Regions from separate parts of the Mus musculus genome. Here region 1 is reported to be linked to region 2. Evidence: microRNA targets listed by miRTarBase, many of them from high-throughput screens and not tested one by one. Region 2 holds a microRNA gene; the other region holds the end of a gene's coding sequence.

What was found. Region 2 holds the annotated microRNA mmu-miR-19b-3p (UGUGCAAAUCCAUGCAAAACUGA, at 2,173-2,195, opposite strand). A microRNA usually pairs through its seed, bases 2 to 8, with sites in the 3' UTR of a target mRNA and lowers its output. Matches are read on the target gene's strand: a 7mer-m8 pairs with bases 2 to 8, a 7mer-A1 pairs with bases 2 to 7 and ends in A, and an 8mer does both.
Region 1: miRTarBase lists Zfp41 as a target of mmu-miR-19b-3p. The part of its 3' UTR that is shown has no 7-base or 8-base seed match.

The regions. Positions count from the first base shown.
Region 1 is chr15:75,618,352-75,622,602 of GRCm38, reverse strand. It overlaps Zfp41 (zinc finger protein 41), which reads right to left. Exons shown (of 3, transcript NM_001044718.2): 2 at 2,912-4,251. The coding sequence ends at 3,806. Among named protein-coding and RNA genes, the nearest start is that of Zfp41, 3.8 kb to the right of the region's middle.
Region 2 is chrX:52,739,819-52,744,069 of GRCm38, forward strand. Mir19b-2 (microRNA 19b-2) reads right to left here and starts at 2,248; the gene lies at 2,165-2,248. Mir363 (microRNA 363) reads right to left here and starts at 1,949; the gene lies at 1,875-1,949. Mir92-2 (microRNA 92-2) reads right to left here and starts at 2,110; the gene lies at 2,020-2,110. Mir20b (microRNA 20b) reads right to left here and starts at 2,374; the gene lies at 2,295-2,374. It also overlaps Mir18b, Mir106a and Kis2.

The DNA.
Region 1 (4,251 bases), not on the chromosome of region 2:
AATTTTCACACACCAAGTCACTGAATTCTAGTTGATTCTTCGGAGTTGGGCACCATCATCCCCACTGTACATTGAGACACAAGGTTCAGCAGTACACCCAACATGGCCAGATCCAGGCAAGGAGAAAGCTGCAGCTGACAGACTCATCTCATGTTCTCGCCACCTCCTTTCTCCTCATGGGTCAAGACATTGGCTTTAACCATGGTTCTCTGGCTATGTGTGGTGCTGTGGGCCTTTAATCCCATAGCCTAGGAAGCAGAGGCAGGTGGGTCTTGGTGAGTGGAGGCCAACCTGGTCTACTCAAAAGCAAACAAAACAAAACAAACCAATCCAAACCAAACCAAACCAAATGCAAGTAACTTGATTCTTCTTCTCAAAGAACCCTGGGCTGGGGTATAGCTGAGTGGCAGAGCAACAGCCCAGCACTCACAAAATCCTGGTTCCATCTCCAAGACCACAAAAGCCAAAAAGTGACTGTGAACGAACCTGTGTGTGTGTGGGTGGGTGGGGAGAGGGGGTGGATAACTCAACCATGCTACCCAGACACTGCCACAGTGTCTCTCAGGGCCAACCTGGGGCTATCTGATTGAACGGCACTGTCCGAGCCTGTCCCATACATCCTGAATGTAGAGAAGACATCAAAGAATAGATTATTTGCAATTTAATCCAGAAAGGGTCATGTGGCTCAGTTAGGAAGTGGCTGAGCTGGGATCAGCTATGTTTCTCTTTAAGTTAAGGGCTCTTTATGCAGCCATGCAAAGTGACAAGAGTTATCAGAGCACTGCACAAATCGAATCAAATCAGACAATGCAGGCAGCCTTGGGTTGTGTTTGACTAATCTCCATTGTTGTAAAGTCTGTGTCCACATTGTCACTCTTCTGGAACATCAAACTGCTGCAGTCTAGTTCTGGCACCCAGGGCTCCAGATGTCCTTAAGCCAGCTTTCTGACCAACAGCTAGCTCTAGCTCTGAAGGAAGGGCTAGGCTTACAGAGGGCTTGGCACACCAAGCCTGCAAGCTCTCTGTGGCTCCAACTCTCTTACATCCTCATGAAGAATAGGGGTCAGAATCACGTGTGGTGGTGCATGCCTATAAAGCCCAGTACTCTAGAAGCTCAAGCAGAGAATCATGGAGAGTTTAAGGCCGTCAGTCTAGGCTACACAGTTAGTTCTCAGCAGCCTGAGCTACACATCAAGACCCTGTCTTAAACAAAGTAAAAATGAGAACCTGAGGGAGCACTTTGCCCTATTTTAGCCATTTTGATAGTTTACGCCTATGACTCCAGGCTTAGGCAGGACTGTGAGTGAGGCCAATTCAGGCTACACAGTGAGATCCAAGACAACCTGGGCTAGAGTGAGACCCCCATCTCAACAAAATAAAACAATAAAACAAATGGGCTGGCAAACAAGTCATGGCAGCACCTCTTTCTGCCAAATTTGGTTAGGACACGGCCACACCCATTCATTCTGTGCCCTCTGTAAGGACTGTGCAGCATGTGAACAGGTGAGTGGCTGTGTGGCTGCAAAGACAAGAACAAAATTCATGTGGAATGACACTGGGCCACCCTGCGGAGTGGCCCTCTGGGTGTATATGAACACACACACTCTGCCTTTGTGGCCCTCTGGGTGTATTATATGAACACATACTGTCTTTGGTTTCCCCTCAATACTGAGGGAACTGAAATCCTGTACCCTAAAACCTTAGCACACATCCTTAAGGACAGGGCTACAGGCTGGGAGCAGGATGCTGCCTTGCCACCTGGCAGCATTCCAGGCTTCCAATGTCCCTAGAGTTTGTGGGTAACCCCTCTATTCCAAGACCATGCTGCCCAAGTATGCCATGTAGCTCCTACACCAGCTGATACTCATCTTCTCACAATTTCACCTCATTAGATTTTCATATTAGATTAAGCCTTCCTCTCCCATGGGGATCAAGACTGGTAAAATACTCCCGGGGATGCTTGCATAAGGAGAGTGCAGTGTGGGAAAACCTCGACCTGGAAGGTTCTGCTCCATGAGGAGGGAGGGGCAGTAAAAGCAGCCTGGTCCAACAGCAGCCCCGGCTTGCACTTCCTAACAGTGCATCAGCAAACCTGGCCAGGTCAGTGCCACAGGAGGCACCAGAGACACACAGTGTTGTTTCAGCTTCTAGAAAGAGGACGGCTAACCTTGTCATTGTGGCAACTGTCTGAAAAAGCAACTTAAGGGTTTCTTTGGCTCCTGGTTTGAAGGGATACAGACCATCATTGTGGGGAGTGTGACACGACTGGTCAAATTACTACAGTTGGGAAGCAGAGAGATGAATGTCGGGCTTTTCTTTTTAAACCTCTGTGTATGTCTCTAGTGCTGTCTGCATGGAGGGCAGGGGGGAGGTCAGAGGACAATTCTGAAGCATGGGGGAGGTCAGAGGACAATTCTGAAGAGCTGGGTCTCCATTGCCATCTTTTGCATGGGTTCCAGGACTGAACTCAATTGTCAGGCTTCTGTGAGAAGCAAGTGCCTTTGCCTGCTGAGCTGTCTCCATGGCCCAGCTTTCTCCTTTTGAATTCAGTCTAGGACTCGAGCCTGTGTGATGGCGCTACCGACATTTAGGTAGGTCTTCCCTCTTCCGTTAAATCTCCCTGGCAACACCCTCACAGACACACCTGATGTGTCTCCTAGGTGATTCTAGATCCAGTCAGGTTGACCATGCAGATTACCACACCTGGTCAAACATTCCAACCAGGGAACATAACCACCTGCATCGTTTGGGCAGTGCCCTCTCATGGTTTCTGTACCTGCTGACAAGCCCTTCTCTACTTCTGGCTGAGTCCTCTTTCTGGGACCCTTTCTTCAGGGCAGACGCCCCAAAGACCAAAGCCATTATTCGTTACTTTATGTCCAAATCGCTGCCAACTTTCCCCCCAACTTACCCTCCTGGTCAGCAGTCACTTGCTGTCTTTAGAACACAGACCTCACACAGCATCATCGTGGGGCAGACAGTAGACAGAGTCACGTGGTCTTGCCCTGCTGACCAGCAGGAAGTGGAATTGACCGGAATGGCAGGCTGCTGTGGGGTGGGGCCACAGTTGTTTTTCAAGGTGCAGTGGGCAGAAGCTACTGATGGCACCCTGGAGCTACAAGGCCTAGCCTAAGAAACCTGCCACTATGCCAGGGTGCCAGGGTCTGCTGAGGCTTTGGATGGATCCAGGCTACTTGTCTACGATGTGGCTGGGACAAGAGAAAGCAGTGTAACCCAGCTCTAGGCCCAAGGGTTGAGCTCAAAGACTGTGGTTTCAGCCAGAAGAGTGAAACTCTAGGATCACTGAAGTCAGCTGCACAGAGATGAGCAAGCAGGACTTGGTGCTGTCCTCAGAGTTGGTCAGAATGCTGCCTGTCATCCACCTCAGGGTTCCTCGCCCTAGCAGACAGCATGGGGCTGAGCATACAGAGTCAGAAGTCTTCAAGAGAAGAGACAAAAGCACCGTGGTTGGTGCAGACAGAGGCAGCAAAGGAAGGCAGTGGCCCTTGCCAACAGGGGTGTCTCTTTAGCTCTACAAAGTTCTCAGCGACCCAAAACTGTTCCAAAGATGGCCCTGAGTAACATAAAGTAGTCTGGAAAATGGCTGGAGCTTCAGGAAGCTCCGGGAAGCACCATGTTACTACTAAGTGAAGACTCGAAGGGCAGAAAGCCTCTGTGGGCTCTCATGTCTGATGGGTAGATTTTCCTCTCAATGACAGATGGGTGGCTGGATGAGCATACTGCGTAAGACCTCTGGACCATCATCAGGTGTTTGACAAGGATCCATAGCTGTAGACCGCCCTGCTCAGTGCTTCTTCCTCGGATGACGCTTCCGATGCCGGATGAGGCAGGAGCTGTAGGCGAAGGATTTTCCACACTCCTCACAGCCATAAGGTTTCTCTCCAGTGTGCGTTTTCTGGTGTTTTAGAAGGTTAGAACCACAGTTGAAGGCTTTTCCACACTCCCCACATTTAAAGGGCTTCTCACCGGTGTGAATTCTTTGATGTTTGGTGACATCTGAGCTGTGCCTGAAGGTCTTCCCACACTGGTCACACTTAAAGGGCTTCTCTCCAGTGTGAACTCTCTGGTGGCGAATGTGATCTGTCTTGTGTTTAAAGATCCGTCCACATTCACCACACTCATAGGGCTTCTTCCTCTGAAAAGGGACAAACACGGGGACACCCTCAAAGTCATCTTTAAACGAGGCATCGAAGGCATCAAAGATATGTGCTTCGTCCTCGGGGCTCAGGA
Region 2 (4,251 bases):
TCCCTTCTGATGAGAACTCAATGTTCAGATAGGTAAAACCAACACATACCTACCTAGTTTTTCCACTTACCAAAGACAGGGCAGTGTTAACATTAACACATGAAACAGAATGAGAAAGTGGGGTAAAAAATGTGCCTGAGTCCTTTCAACTTTATGAATTTGAAACTTAAAATAGAACCGGGCGTTTTTTTTTTTTTAACCTATAGTTCTTTGGGCGAGCACCATCAGCACCTGAGACTGGGTTACAAAGGCAAATCCTGAGGGCTCACCTGATGACAGTCACTCTCTGGAGATGGGACTGGCAGGGTTTTCAGTAGTGATAAAACCAAAGACTCAACGCAAACTTAAATTCCAGTTATATTCAAATGTTCCTTCAAGACATACCCTATAAAATTTGTTTTCAGCTCAGTGGGGGAAGGGCACTTGCCATCGGGCCTAAGAAATCTAAGATGTATGTCCATGACCCACATGACTAGCTCCCTACAGTTGTTCTCAAATCACCACATGACACACACACTAAATAAGTAGATAGATAGATAGATAGATAGATAGATAGATAGATAGATAGATAGATAGATAAATGTATGTAAATGCTGGAAGTCTAGGAGTGGAGGGGTGCCTACCTTTAATCTCAGCATTCTAGAAGCAGAAACACACAGATCTCCGCAAGTTCAAGGCTAGCCTAGTTTACAAATTGAGTTCCAAGCTAACCAGAGCTACATACCAAGACGCTATTTTAGAAAAGCCAATAGTATTGCTAATTTAAAAAGAGAGCCATTGCCATATCCAGGGATCCATCCCATAATCAGCTTCCAAACGCTGACACCATTGCATACACTAGCAAGATTTTCCTGAAAGGACCCAGATATAGCTGTCTCTTGTGAGACTATGCTGGGGCCTAGCAAACACAGAAGTGGATGATCACAGTCAGCTATTGGATGGATCACAGGGTCCCCAATGGAGGAGCTAGAGAAAGTACCCAAGGAGCTAAAGGGATCTGCAACCCTATAGGTGGAACAACAATATGAACTAACCAGTACCCCGGAGCTCTTGTCTCTAGCTGCATATGTATCAAAAGATGGCCTAGTCAGCCATCACTGGAAAGAGAGGCCCTTTGGACTTGCAAACTTTATATGCCCCAGTACAGGGGAACGCCAGGGCCAAAAAGGGGGAGTGGGTGGGTAGGGGAGTGGGGGTGGGTGGGTATGGGGGACTTTTGGGATAGCATTGGAAATGTAAACGAGGAAAATACCTAATAAAAAAAAAGAGAGAAAAAAAAGAGAGCCCCAGGCTGGAGAGATGGCTCAGTGGTTAAGAGCACTGACTGCTCTTCCAGCGGTACTGAGTTCAAATCCCAGCAACCACATGGTGGCTCACAACCATCTGGAATGGGGTCTGATGCCACCTTCTGGTGTCTATGGAGACAGCTACAGTGTACTTGTCATATAATAAATAAATAAATAAATAAATAAATAGAATCTTTTAAAAAAGAAAAAAGAAACCCATTTTTTTTCAGACTTATATATCAGCTTTATTTTGCAAATTTCAGGTTTGTTTACATTCAGTGCAATCAAAATGTCAGGATTTCAAATATATTTAAAAATATGTAGTTTTAAAAAATTAGACTCCAAGCTGGGCGTGGTGGCGCACGCCTTTGATCCCAGCACTTGGGAGGCAGAGGCAGGCAGATTTCTGAGTTCGAGGCCACCCTGAGTGAGTTCCAGGACAGCCAGGGCTATACAGAGAAACTCTGTCTTGAAAAACCAAAAAAAAAAAAAAAAAATCCACTCCAAATGTGTTCAAAGCAATGACTAGCTAAAGGATTTTACAATCTTACTATAGCACTGATAGACGGCTGTCCACATAGGTCCTGCGGTTTACAGATGGATACCGTGCAATTTTCCTCCTATTACACCAACCAAAATTGCATCGTGTTCCACCTGATAACAGCAAAACAGTTCATTTCATAATTACAGTCTAACATAACTTACAATACTCAGAAACTAAAAGACGATTAAAAACCCTCTTTCTTCCTCAGGCCGGGACAAGTGCAATACTTTATATCTAACACAAGTAATGCCACCAATCCCCACCTGTGGATGAATGGGCATGGATGCTGAAGATGTGCATAAAGGTGTCCATTACGATGCAGAAAGGTACACATTCCCACAATCAGTTTTGCATGGATTTGCACAGCCATATATTCACATATACGCTGAACTGCAAATCTGCAAAACTAATCGTAAGTAGCAATGTCCTTGCGCTGTAGTTGCTTCAACAAGACCTTGGTTGATCCAGGAGTACTAGAAGTGCTCACACTGCAGTAGAGTGGTATAAAAACTACCTGCACTATGAGCACTTTGGCACTACTAGGATCCGAGCTTGTTCTTCTACACAACTGTATACTACAGTCTCCGCCATCTGTTTCTCGGCGAAACACTGAAAGAGCCTTTGAAACTTGTGCCGTTCAAATCATTTCTCAAGATATGCTTTTCAAATGCAAGGTAAGAAGTAGCCTGTGCGAGAAGGGGCATTTAGGGCAGTAGATTGTAAGCTGCTTCACTAACAGCACTAGATGCACCTTAACACAAGAGACACATTACAAGGAGCAGCTCAAAAACATCCACAATCTAACTATGCAGAAACCAGGGGACTCAGCGGCCTCTGATTAAATCACCATGGTAATGTAAGAAGTGCTGGCACTGCAGTAGAACTCAAAAAGCTACCTGCACTGTTAGCACTTTGACATGGCCAAGGCATACTCCAGGAGTGTAACCTTGAAGTCTTCCACGAACTCTTCTTTGCCAGATCTGCAGACTCACCTGGATAAACACACACACACACACACAGCAAGTAAGTGAACTGTGAGTTACTATTTCTAAAACAAGTTTGCCTTCCGTTAAGAGTGCAAATGGGGTTGTGTTACTTCAAACATTAATAAGCTCAATTATTTACACAGACTTAAACATGAATAACACTGGCAATCTCAGAATGTCTGACTCTTAAGAGTAAGAGGATTTTGGACTCCCTCTCCGTCTAAGGAAATTTGAGATTCGCATCCCAGAAAATTTGCAGAGCTGTAATATCCACCATGGTTTTCTAAGAGGCAAGAGCCCAGGAAAAGATGTAAGCAAAAAAATAAATAAATAACATTAGGGTGAGTACTGACGTCTTGAGCTCATCCAGAGCTTTGGGGAGCCACTCGGAAGGTCTCTATGTTTGATTACATGAAGCATCCCTGCCCCCAGCCCATTAAGAGAAAATGATAGAAATTTCAGAGCCGCTTTAAGAAACAGTTTTACACTCTTCACATACCGCACAGATGGCCTAGAGATGTCACATTTTCATCTATTTCAAAGGGCTCTACTTCTGTTTAAACATTTATGGACCCATTTTCTCCATTAAACCTAAAGAAGTCAGATTAGCTCTTTGGCTTCATGTCATTATCTTCCACAGGAAAAACCTCTCTCATTTCCAAGTGTGTATCTTACCCAGGAAAATGCTGCAGAGGACAGTCTGAGGGGTCACGAGCTCCCTCCCTCCCATGATGGAATGTTTGTGTTGATGGGGGGACACCAATAAACTTCAGGGACACAAAACTTGAAATGTGTTCAATGAGAAAGGATATTTTAAATGTTGGAACTTTTCGAAGCCACTTAGTGACTAAGATAGTTCTTAAAACATTTTAAATATAAATTAGCAAAACTTTTGAAGTAAATATGAAATCTGCTTCCTATAGTGCAAGTATTGGCTTATTATACTTTTCTTCTTGAACTGGGTTCCTACAACTAGAGATTTTTGCCTCCACTAAAAATATATTACAAAACCTGACTCAACTTCGCAAAACCATACCTCAGCCCTCCAGAGAAAGCTCCTTCTAGCTAATACCTTTCTTTAACACATCTGCTCTCCATCATATATACTAGAAAGTCGCTGTACAACTTCTAAAATTGCAAAGAGGACCCAGTCTTTTACCATTTCGGGATTTTCTCTGGTCTATTCCCGCATCTTCAGCAGCGGCTCCAGTAGAGATCTGTGAACCTCCTGGGAACGCAGGGTGTGCTCCAGCCAGTCATGCCACGCGCTTAGGTCTTCAAGACACCTTAGCGGCCACCAAAATTAAACAGAAAGAAACAAAGCATTATGGGAAACGGAGTTCTCCATTCAAAGCCCCCAAAACGCGCCAAGCTTAAGCCTCTCCCTCCATTCTCGGGTTGGTGGGAGGGAAACCAAGGTAGGTCGGGAGTCCTC